Daphnia pulex: one gene and its partner. The protein of the gene in region 1 interacts with the protein of each later gene in a pairwise test. Links are inferred from orthologs where the notes say so. Each region holds a gene or a part of one and is shown in the gene's direction. Other genes may lie near its edges.

Evidence for each region.
Region 2: the proteins of breast cancer anti-estrogen resistance protein 1-like (region 1) and breast cancer anti-estrogen resistance protein 3 homolog interact in a two-hybrid assay, tested with the Drosophila melanogaster proteins (2 studies listed by BioGRID). The link is inferred for Daphnia pulex from reciprocal best matches to the Drosophila melanogaster genes p130CAS and CG9098.

What each region holds. Positions count from the first base shown.
Region 1 is NC_060021.1:6,680,012-6,684,337, forward strand, and holds the start of breast cancer anti-estrogen resistance protein 1-like, read left to right. Parts: upstream 1-1,362; 5' UTR 1,363-1,721; coding exon 1,722-1,829; intron 1,830-4,326.
Region 2 is NC_060017.1:3,549,644-3,554,249, reverse strand, and holds the start of breast cancer anti-estrogen resistance protein 3 homolog, read left to right. Parts: upstream 1-1,535; 5' UTR 1,536-1,733; coding exon 1,734-1,817; intron 1,818-1,902; coding exon 1,903-2,017; intron 2,018-2,481; coding exon 2,482-2,566; intron 2,567-3,256; coding exon 3,257-3,341; intron 3,342-3,423; coding exon 3,424-3,533; intron 3,534-3,610; coding exon 3,611-3,758; intron 3,759-3,853; coding exon 3,854-4,606.

The sequences.
Region 1 (4,326 bases):
TGATGATATTTACCAAACAAGGGCCGCTGGCGTCAGTTGGTCGCTCTCAATTTTTAGAGCAAAAGGAAAGACAAAAATTGGCAGCTAAAAAACTGCCGGTCGTATAATCGCTGAGGCATGGCAGATTACCAAAGACGAGTGGCACACACACACACACGAAAGCTTTCACGATATAGACTATAGCAGTACCACCACGTTTCGGGATAGAAATAGCCAGGTCAACTCAACATTTCCTGGAATCCAACTCAAACTTTTTCGGGACTGATTGATTTAGAGGTCTCGGCTATTATTCGCGACGAAATGTTTCATAACGCCAAAAATTTCTTTCGAGGCAGCATTCATTTAAATAATGAAGCTAGCAAGCACGTCTGTCAGAGCTCTATCTCTAGCTTCAAAAAAACATTCCCGAGTTTCCCCAATCTGACGGTTGTCCAATCGTTTGGAATTCATGAAGAATAAAAATGTTTTTTCCAAGTTTCTGGTTGGTCCGTTCAAACGTACACGAATGTTCGTTGCCAGTCACCACATGGCGATGAGAGGTCGTAAGCGGTTTTGGCGCCGCATTCGAAAGTGCCTTGAATGTTTTTTCTTCTTTCCTTTTTGTTGAAGCGCAGCTGGCAATTCATCATCTGCGAGTCTCTTCTCCGGGACTCACGTCGCGACGGTCTCTGGTGGTGGACACGCCGTCTGTGAAACTCGCGTGCCCTGTTTTTATAGTGTTGCCCCGAAAAAGTTTGTTGATTCAGCCGAAATTGGAAGTCACCGACAAACGACATTCTTGTGTGTCACACAACACAACAGCCATCCACCAAGTCGTTTGCAAAAGGACGCAGCAGCACCGTGAGCTGAGCTGGGGAGGACGACCGCAGGACGTGAAAAGAAACTGTAATACTCTCCGACCTTGTGAGTTGTGCAGACCTTTTCCTACGTACACATTAAACATATAAGCAGCTATATACACGACACAATAGCCACTGGTGGTGCTGGTGCTGTGCTTCTGGGATAAATCGTCTCAAACCTGACGAAATTCCATGATATACACGCGACCATAGCAGACACACGGCCATTTTCCTTTTGTCTTCTTCCTGTTGTATCTCTCTTGAACGCAACCAAACAAGAAAAACAATCGCAGTCGGTTGCCAATAAAGGAAAGCACCTTAATTAGCAGCTACAACAACAACCTTGCGTCGCGCAGCTCTAAACCATCTTTTTTTGTTTTTCTTTCTCATTCTTTCGCCATCCTGGAGGTCTTAACAAGGACCGCACTGCGCCGTCCATACTTAATGTTTCGATAGAAAAACCGAAAAACTTTTGTTTTGTTCTTCCGCGGCTTTTTTTTAAAATCTCTGATTCGCAGCGCAGTCCCGATTAAGAAAAAAAGTTTCAATCCGGCAGCAGCCAGCCAGTCTCACAGTGTTCCGCTTCGTTTCTTTTTGGAACCGAATGGAAGAAAAACGGCAGAGTGAAAGAGCGAGAGAGAAGAGAGAGAGAGAGGCGATTTGTTCAAAACTCGGCTCTCCTGCCAATAGCTGCTTCACTCTTCAGCCCACCCGGTAGTGATAACAACACCACTCGTTTCTCTGTGTGAATTGAGTGATAAACAATTTTAAAGTTTTAAATTTAAAAAAGAAAAAAAAAAGGAGAAAACAGCGCATAGTTTTGGGCCGGCCGGACTGGAACACATTTGAACCACTTCACACAGAGTGTAGAAAGCAAAACGAATGGCTACGATGGACGGAAGTAGTGCTGCTGTCCAGACTACCATCGCCAGAGGCAACCAAACTAGCGTCTTCAACAATCAGCAGCAACCGGCTTGTTGGAATGGACTGGTAGCTAAAAATTCTATTCTTACGTATTATATTTTTTGAATGTGTTAAATCAGTTGGAAGAAGATCAGAGATTTTTATATAGGTATTGTAGATATTCAAATATGAGGCATTCCTCACTGTCTTTGGACAGGTTCCCCTTTTTCTCTTTCTACCGTCCGTAACGCCCATTCGTTGAATAATTCGGGAAAAAAGATCCCGCATAAAAAAATGGGCGCTTTGCGCGCGGGACTATATAGAAACAAAAAGTAAAGTGAGAAGCTCCGCGCGGTCCCAAGGTCTATCGTATCATCTAACTTAACCTTTCTTTCTTTTTTATTTGATTTGCTGTTGTACTATAGTGGTGGTGTTGTTTTGTGTTGTTGTGAATATGATTCACGAGCCAGTTTGAATTACTTTGGGACCGTGGAAATCTAAACAGCAACGCCATCGATTATGCACGGAGCTGTGAGATTCTAATCTTTTTAAATCAACAAGCGTTTCATAATATTGCGTATAGCCCTTACACATACATGTTTGTGATGGGTGTGTGCAGTGCACTGCACAGGGAACTCGACACTCGGCGTCCGAGAGAGAGTTTCACATCATATAGAATGCGTTCGGGAGAAATACGCACAGGCACGCAAGTTTAGTCTCGATACACACAATGCGTTATGATTATGGCTGACATTGCCGTGGACTGGCCGGTCCCTCCTCTCAACGCGTTCTTACGTAATAATAAGGGTCTCCCAGTTCGGCAGCATTGAAAGGGGTTAAACAAAAGGAAGGAATAAGATGAGACGAAGGAGAGATTTTCTTTTGAAAAAGATGTGGCGATAAGCTTTCAGGTATTATGATGGAACGCGCGTGCGGGAGAAAAAAGAAGAAAAATCCAGACGGCGCCTCTCGCTCTCGCTAACTCATCTCGTGGTAATTTTGTAGAGAGAAAAAAATAGTTTTCGATAGGCAATAAAGTAAAGATGATAAGGACATGGGGCCAACTGTTCAATTTCTACTTCAGAACTTTTTGAACTGCTGGAATCCCTCCATTACACGAGGCGGTGCTTAGTCGAAAGAAATTTAAACGGCCGGATGAGTGATTTGCGATATGAGCGGCTATTTTCCATCGTACATCAATTTGATGATTCCCCCCCCCCTCAAAATATATAAAAACGAATGAAGAGCATCGCGTTAGATTTCCTTTCAGATATACATTTTGAAAACGACGTTTTACACCTTGAAAAGGGCTTTGGCAGGTGGAGCGCAGGAACATTAAGGTGAATCTTTACTGGGCAGCCGTTCATCAGTCAAGAAGTTAACGATTCCTAGAATAACCTGGACGACCTCCTGTTTTGTTTCTCTAGTTCCTAAATCACGCGATATAAACAGTCCCGAATGTCTCTCTGCGCATATCTAATATAGTCAAAAGTGATTACATACCAAAGGAGATTAGAACTACAATAGCTGCCCCGATCATTTTCAAGGCGAAAGTTTGTGTCACGAAAAGAGAGAAAAGAAAAAACACATTCCGCGACGTGAATAAGCGGCACGTTCGAAGCTTATTTCTGCCAACCGGCGCAAAGCTGAAAAAGTGCATTACATGTGTTATCGCCATTTGGACGCTGTAATAAGATATAAGAGGATGTGAAATTCAAATTCTTATCAAATTTTGAAAAGTTTATGGGGAATTTAAATTTCGACAAAAACAAAAATATTAATTGGATCGTTTTCTTGCCTCTATCCTGCAAATCAATTTTAAGATGACAAATGAACAGTAACTATACAGATGTGACCCGTAAAAACAATTAATTGGACCTATGTTCAAACGTATATCTTAATTGATTACGAACAGTGATAGAGCACATGTTTCATCATCCATGGTTATAAATCTAGTTAGTATTAAATCGGTTTCACAATTTTTTTTTGATTAGGCGCGGTTGGTTAATTAAAATACGATGCCTTCAACAATATGTTGATGAGCAAGTCAGGATTTTAACTAGCCGTCGGATCAATTGATACTGGATTTCCATCCAGAATATAAAAACAAGTACATCCTTACCACCGCTGGTAAAACTCTATGAGGAAACCACTAATTGTAGAATATATTCCTGCCGAATCGCAAAATTTCTTATATACATTCAGTGTTCTCAATTGCGATCATACAGTTCATTATTAAAAAATTGAAAAATACTTATGGAGTGAGTCGTTAAGTCTGTTATAAGATAAGATTGTTGTTATAAGAAAATATGATGTGGAAGTAAATGGGACTGCGTAGTGCGTAGTTTTTGGACGAGAAATTAGAATTTTGACAAAATAAAACAAAAAAAGAACAAAACAAAAGTTCCCTTGCCTCTTTCTAATGCAATCTGATTTGATGTCAAATGAACAATAAGTAATCAGATGTGACGCGTAATAAAATGTTATTGGAGCTATGGTTTAAAGTTTATCTAACTTGATTACAACCAGTGTTTGGATACACATTTAATCATCCTTGCTGTAAGATTTAGTTAGCATAAGTTTT
Region 2 (4,606 bases), on another chromosome or scaffold:
CCTTAGACAATTTTTGTTTTGTTTTTTTAATTTTTGGTTGGCCCATAGGGCACAAATATTCAAATAAACAGTTATCATGCACGCGAATCGTCCGCTGTCAATCCCGAGGATCGTTCATCACTTGTAATCGTCCCCATCCATAACCTTTTCCTGTTGGCTGATTTTTTCCCCCGGCCTTTCGTCTTGTTTTTATATACCCATTCCTCGCTGTTACATTTTCGTTGGAGATAATTACATTTTTTCGTGCGGAAGCGGAAGGGATATGTAGTTAAACCGGACGGGACGGTCCGGAATATGTGCGATACGCTAATTTAGCCGCCGATTTCACGGCGCTTTTGAGACTGTGACGACGGCAACGGCCGTTGGCATTCCCAAACTCTCATGTGTTCAGAGTTGAACGGCTCATCCAGTAGATGTAGTAGTAGCATCTGTGGTTACGCCCAGTTCCTAATGTAAATAAATAAGCTGCGGTCAAAGTCCTCCATTTGTCTTGTTATATTCCAACCGTTCTCGTTCCAGCACCTACATAAAATATGTTGATACATTTTCACTATACAGCGCGCTCGCTGTAGCTAATATTATAGTGCGGATGCTTTATGATATTATATTAGCCCAGCTCCTGAGCTCCTTGCTGGACGGTTCAGTTATTTTAATGCGGGCGATTGCGACCGGGAACAATTGAAGAATAAAGAAACGGTTTTTACCAGAGTAAAAATAATTTGGCTTCCAGACGGTGCCAAAGCTCGTAAAAAAATCGGGCATTTAACAGCAGCGAATCCAAAGCTCTACCTTGGACCTGTATATTTATAACGCATGGTATTCTTTTTTTTTATTTGAAAGTAACTGCAGTTTTGTCGGTCGACAATGAGAAATAAGTTATGTTTCACGTTGAAGGATTATCCTCTTAACAGAAAATTACTATTAGACGATAGACGTCATTATTATTGAAATGCGCACGGACGCTCTCGCCATCTAGGATTCGTGAAGAGAACTCGGTCCCCTAGTTCACGATTGTCACGCAGTGGGTGTATTATATCTCACAGGAATAATGCAACTCTCAAAAACCTTGAAGCAATTTCAGAACAATTGAAATATTGCCAGCACCGTGACGTGCAAAACAACGTGAAGCAACATGTTTTAATGTCCGGTTTTAATCTTTTTTTAAGGCTGATTAACTCCCGAATTATGGTACAGAAATCGACGCGATTTATCGGTGGGGACCATTTTTCTACTTGCTCAATTGCTGGTGTAATGCGATGTGTAATAACGTTTATTTCCAAGAATACAGTGGCCCGATAACTTTCCGTGGTTGAGAAAAGGTTTCGAGTGCGCGCTCCCGTGTTACGTCTACATGACTGGGCATATATAATAATCCACTCTGAAACTGCTCGATATTACCAGACAGGTAGTTCTATGAAGCCGATAAGGGCAGTAAATCAAAACGCAGAGCGGCTGCAGTGTCTTTATCTCTGTCCCTATGAGAGTCCATTAAGAAATTTATTCCCGAGGCTTTTAAAACTATTTGAAATGCCGAGGTTAGGGAGCAGAGTGGAAATCTGACTCTTGCCCGGCGCGCCTGAGATTAGAACCGCTTCCTACTTGTTGATTATGTACGGTTCAGGTGAGTGTGTACCGTAGGAGAGACTAGTCTTCGTTCTGGCTTTCAGTCAACGGCACGTTTTCGTCAGCGGTTAGTCAGTGAGTGGAAAAATACAAAACGCACACCGGACGAAATGCATTTAGATATTAAATATTGGCTGAATTCGTTAAATCTGCTGCAGTACCAGCATCTTTTCGAAGGCTTCCATGGCGTACAGGTAGGCTACATCACTACAACTTGATAAAATCACAGCTGCCTTGTTGACAATGTGACTTATTACGGAAACTAATGGCTATTGATAGGACATCCTCCATCTGGACGAATCGGCCATCATGAATCAGATTGGAATCAAGAACAGCGCTCACCGGGCCAAAATCGTCTCCAGCCTTGTGTTGCTCAGAGCAAAACATAATCTTCGTAAGTGTTTTCAATGGTTTTTAACTAGCGATTTTTTTAAAACAAGTGTTTAAAGGGGAAATAATGTCCAGAAAGTAACAAACAACTTGCTTAATACCGGAAGTGGCCGGTTTTAAAGCGCGTGATTCGTTCAGGGCTTGCGCTCTCGTGCTCACAAGCCCGTCAAACTCACGTCGCGAGCCACTCACCTTGACACGGCACCAATTTTGTATCAATTTCAATTCCCCCCACCTGTGCCTCAGCAAACAAATGTTCTTATCTTCAACGTTACACAGATCGACAAAATCGGGGCCCATTTTCAATGCAGCTCGAAAGATTGCGTGCTGTTTATTAGTTTTGTAATGCGCAAAGCTTTGCTCTGATAATGTTGCCGACATTTCAGAAATGAAATGCACTCGACTCGCCTGATGATATGATTCGCATTCTCTTGATATGATTTCACTTTTTTTATTCTGAAATTCCAGGACTCCGAAAACAAGAGAACCAACCCAGAATTTCGCCGGCTTTTTCTACTTCCTCCGTCGATGACGCCAGCATGGTTAAATTCAGGTGGGTGTCGGAAATCAGTCAAACAGGATGTGTCCGTCGTTGGTCAATGTTTATTTTTGTTTTTTTCTATTATTATTTATTTTATTCCATTGGGCGGACGGGAGTCACGCAAAGACATTTTTGGGAAGGAGAGTAGTATAGTAAGTGCTACGACTACTAGATGTCGCACTATGTCTGTGTATTATGTGTATACGTGAGAAAATAGCGTTCCGTTCCATTGAGCTGGGAGGGGGGGAGGGGAAGCAGTTTGGAGGGCAGACGAGATGAAAATCAATAGCAGCCGGCAAACACACCCCTCCCAACTTTGTTGATGGTATCAATGGAGGGAAACGAGAGGATGCCAGGGGAAACGTATAGCTTTCCACAGTTAGTCTGCTGATACACTATATCTTTCGAAAATCTCAACGAAGCAAGCCAATCGGTTTGGGGGTTCAAACGAGCAGAGCTTTAGAGAACTGTCAAGCATTCGATACATTCGCCCCGGGTGCCTTTTGTACTGAAAAAGATTTTCAGTTTGAAGTTTTATCCTCTGCTGTGAATTAGTCATCATTGAATTCCGATCCGAGGCGAGTGCGTTGGTCGTTCACTGAGAAAAAAGGATCGCCTTTCAACACGACTCAGCTGATTCCCTCCCCTTCTATTGAAAAATAATTTGAAAAAGAAACAAAAAAGTGTTTGATGTGCGCGCAGGTCGCGTTCGGAATTCGCGCAGTCGGCGCACAACAGGAGTCTGCTTCAGCAGCACAGTGCCAGTGTTCTCAACATCTCACAAATGGTAAGTCTTGTAGTATATGTAGACCTAAACTGTTTTATAAACGTTATCCCTTTATTTATATTTGGTCTGGTTTTGTTGACAGCAAGATTACGACAACATTTCCAGCGCAGAAGTGTCGGAAGCTGAGAGCCTTCGCCGCCAGTTGGAATGGGAACTCGGACTGGACGGGCGATGTCTCGAATCTCACGCTTGGTATATACATACATACGCATTGATCGGTCCCAAGGATTTCCCTACCAACTTTCTCCCTTTTGTTGTTGATCTTTTAGGTACCACGGGTCGATTCCCCGGAGCCACGCGGAAAGTTTGCTGAAAAACGATGGCGAATTCCTCATTCGAGATTCTTCGACAGGTCAGCCGGGCGACCTTGTCCTCTCCACCTATTTTGGAGGGCATCTACACTTTATGATTAACAAGGTAAAAAGCTCTTGACAAAAGAATAGGGCGACCCGGCCTCAATCCAGCACTATTTGACCTCATTATTTGTCCTCACTAAATGGACAATCTGTTAGGTGATCATCCAAGCCAACACGGTCTACCAGTCGACTCAATACAAATTGGAAGAGGAGCCGTTCGAAACGATTTCAGATTTGGTGACGTGCTACGTCGGTAGTGGCAAGGCCGTGACGGCCGCCACCGGCGCCAAAATTACAACGCCCATCAATCGAACGAAACCACTTTCGTTGTACTCGAGTCGCTACAGCGTTGACTCGCGATCCTGTCATCCATCATCGGCCAGCAGCGCGAGCCAATACGGTGGCTCGACTAACCTGTACTCCGGCAGGAATCCTCTAACACCTGCGGTGACGGGTCGAGTGCGGATGGTTCACCCGACAGCGCGCGAGTACTCGACGCAATCGCTGCCCCGATCTACACAATCTGCCTCCAATCGAGTGATGATGAGGCGGGGACCCAGTGATCCTTCACTGTCCATCCAGCCAGGGGCGTCACCTGCATGTCCTCCCAAACCCAGCCGGGTCCCGTCGCAGATCTTCCCGCCAGACGTCGACATTCCATCGGGCGACTTGGCTGCTGCTGTTGCTCCTCCTCAGCCTCTCAACCGGATTTCGGAGAGTGCCGGCCAAGATGTTGAAGATGAGAACAACAGTGAAGAAGTTGATGTCTTGCCCCAATTGCCCCAGCTTCCGGCTACTTTGCCACGTAGGAGAGCGGCAGCTGGGAATTTGGCAAAGCGGCCAGTATCCATGACTCGAAACTCCTTCCTGGATCGGCGGAGCTGTGATTTCGACGCCGAAGCCGCATTC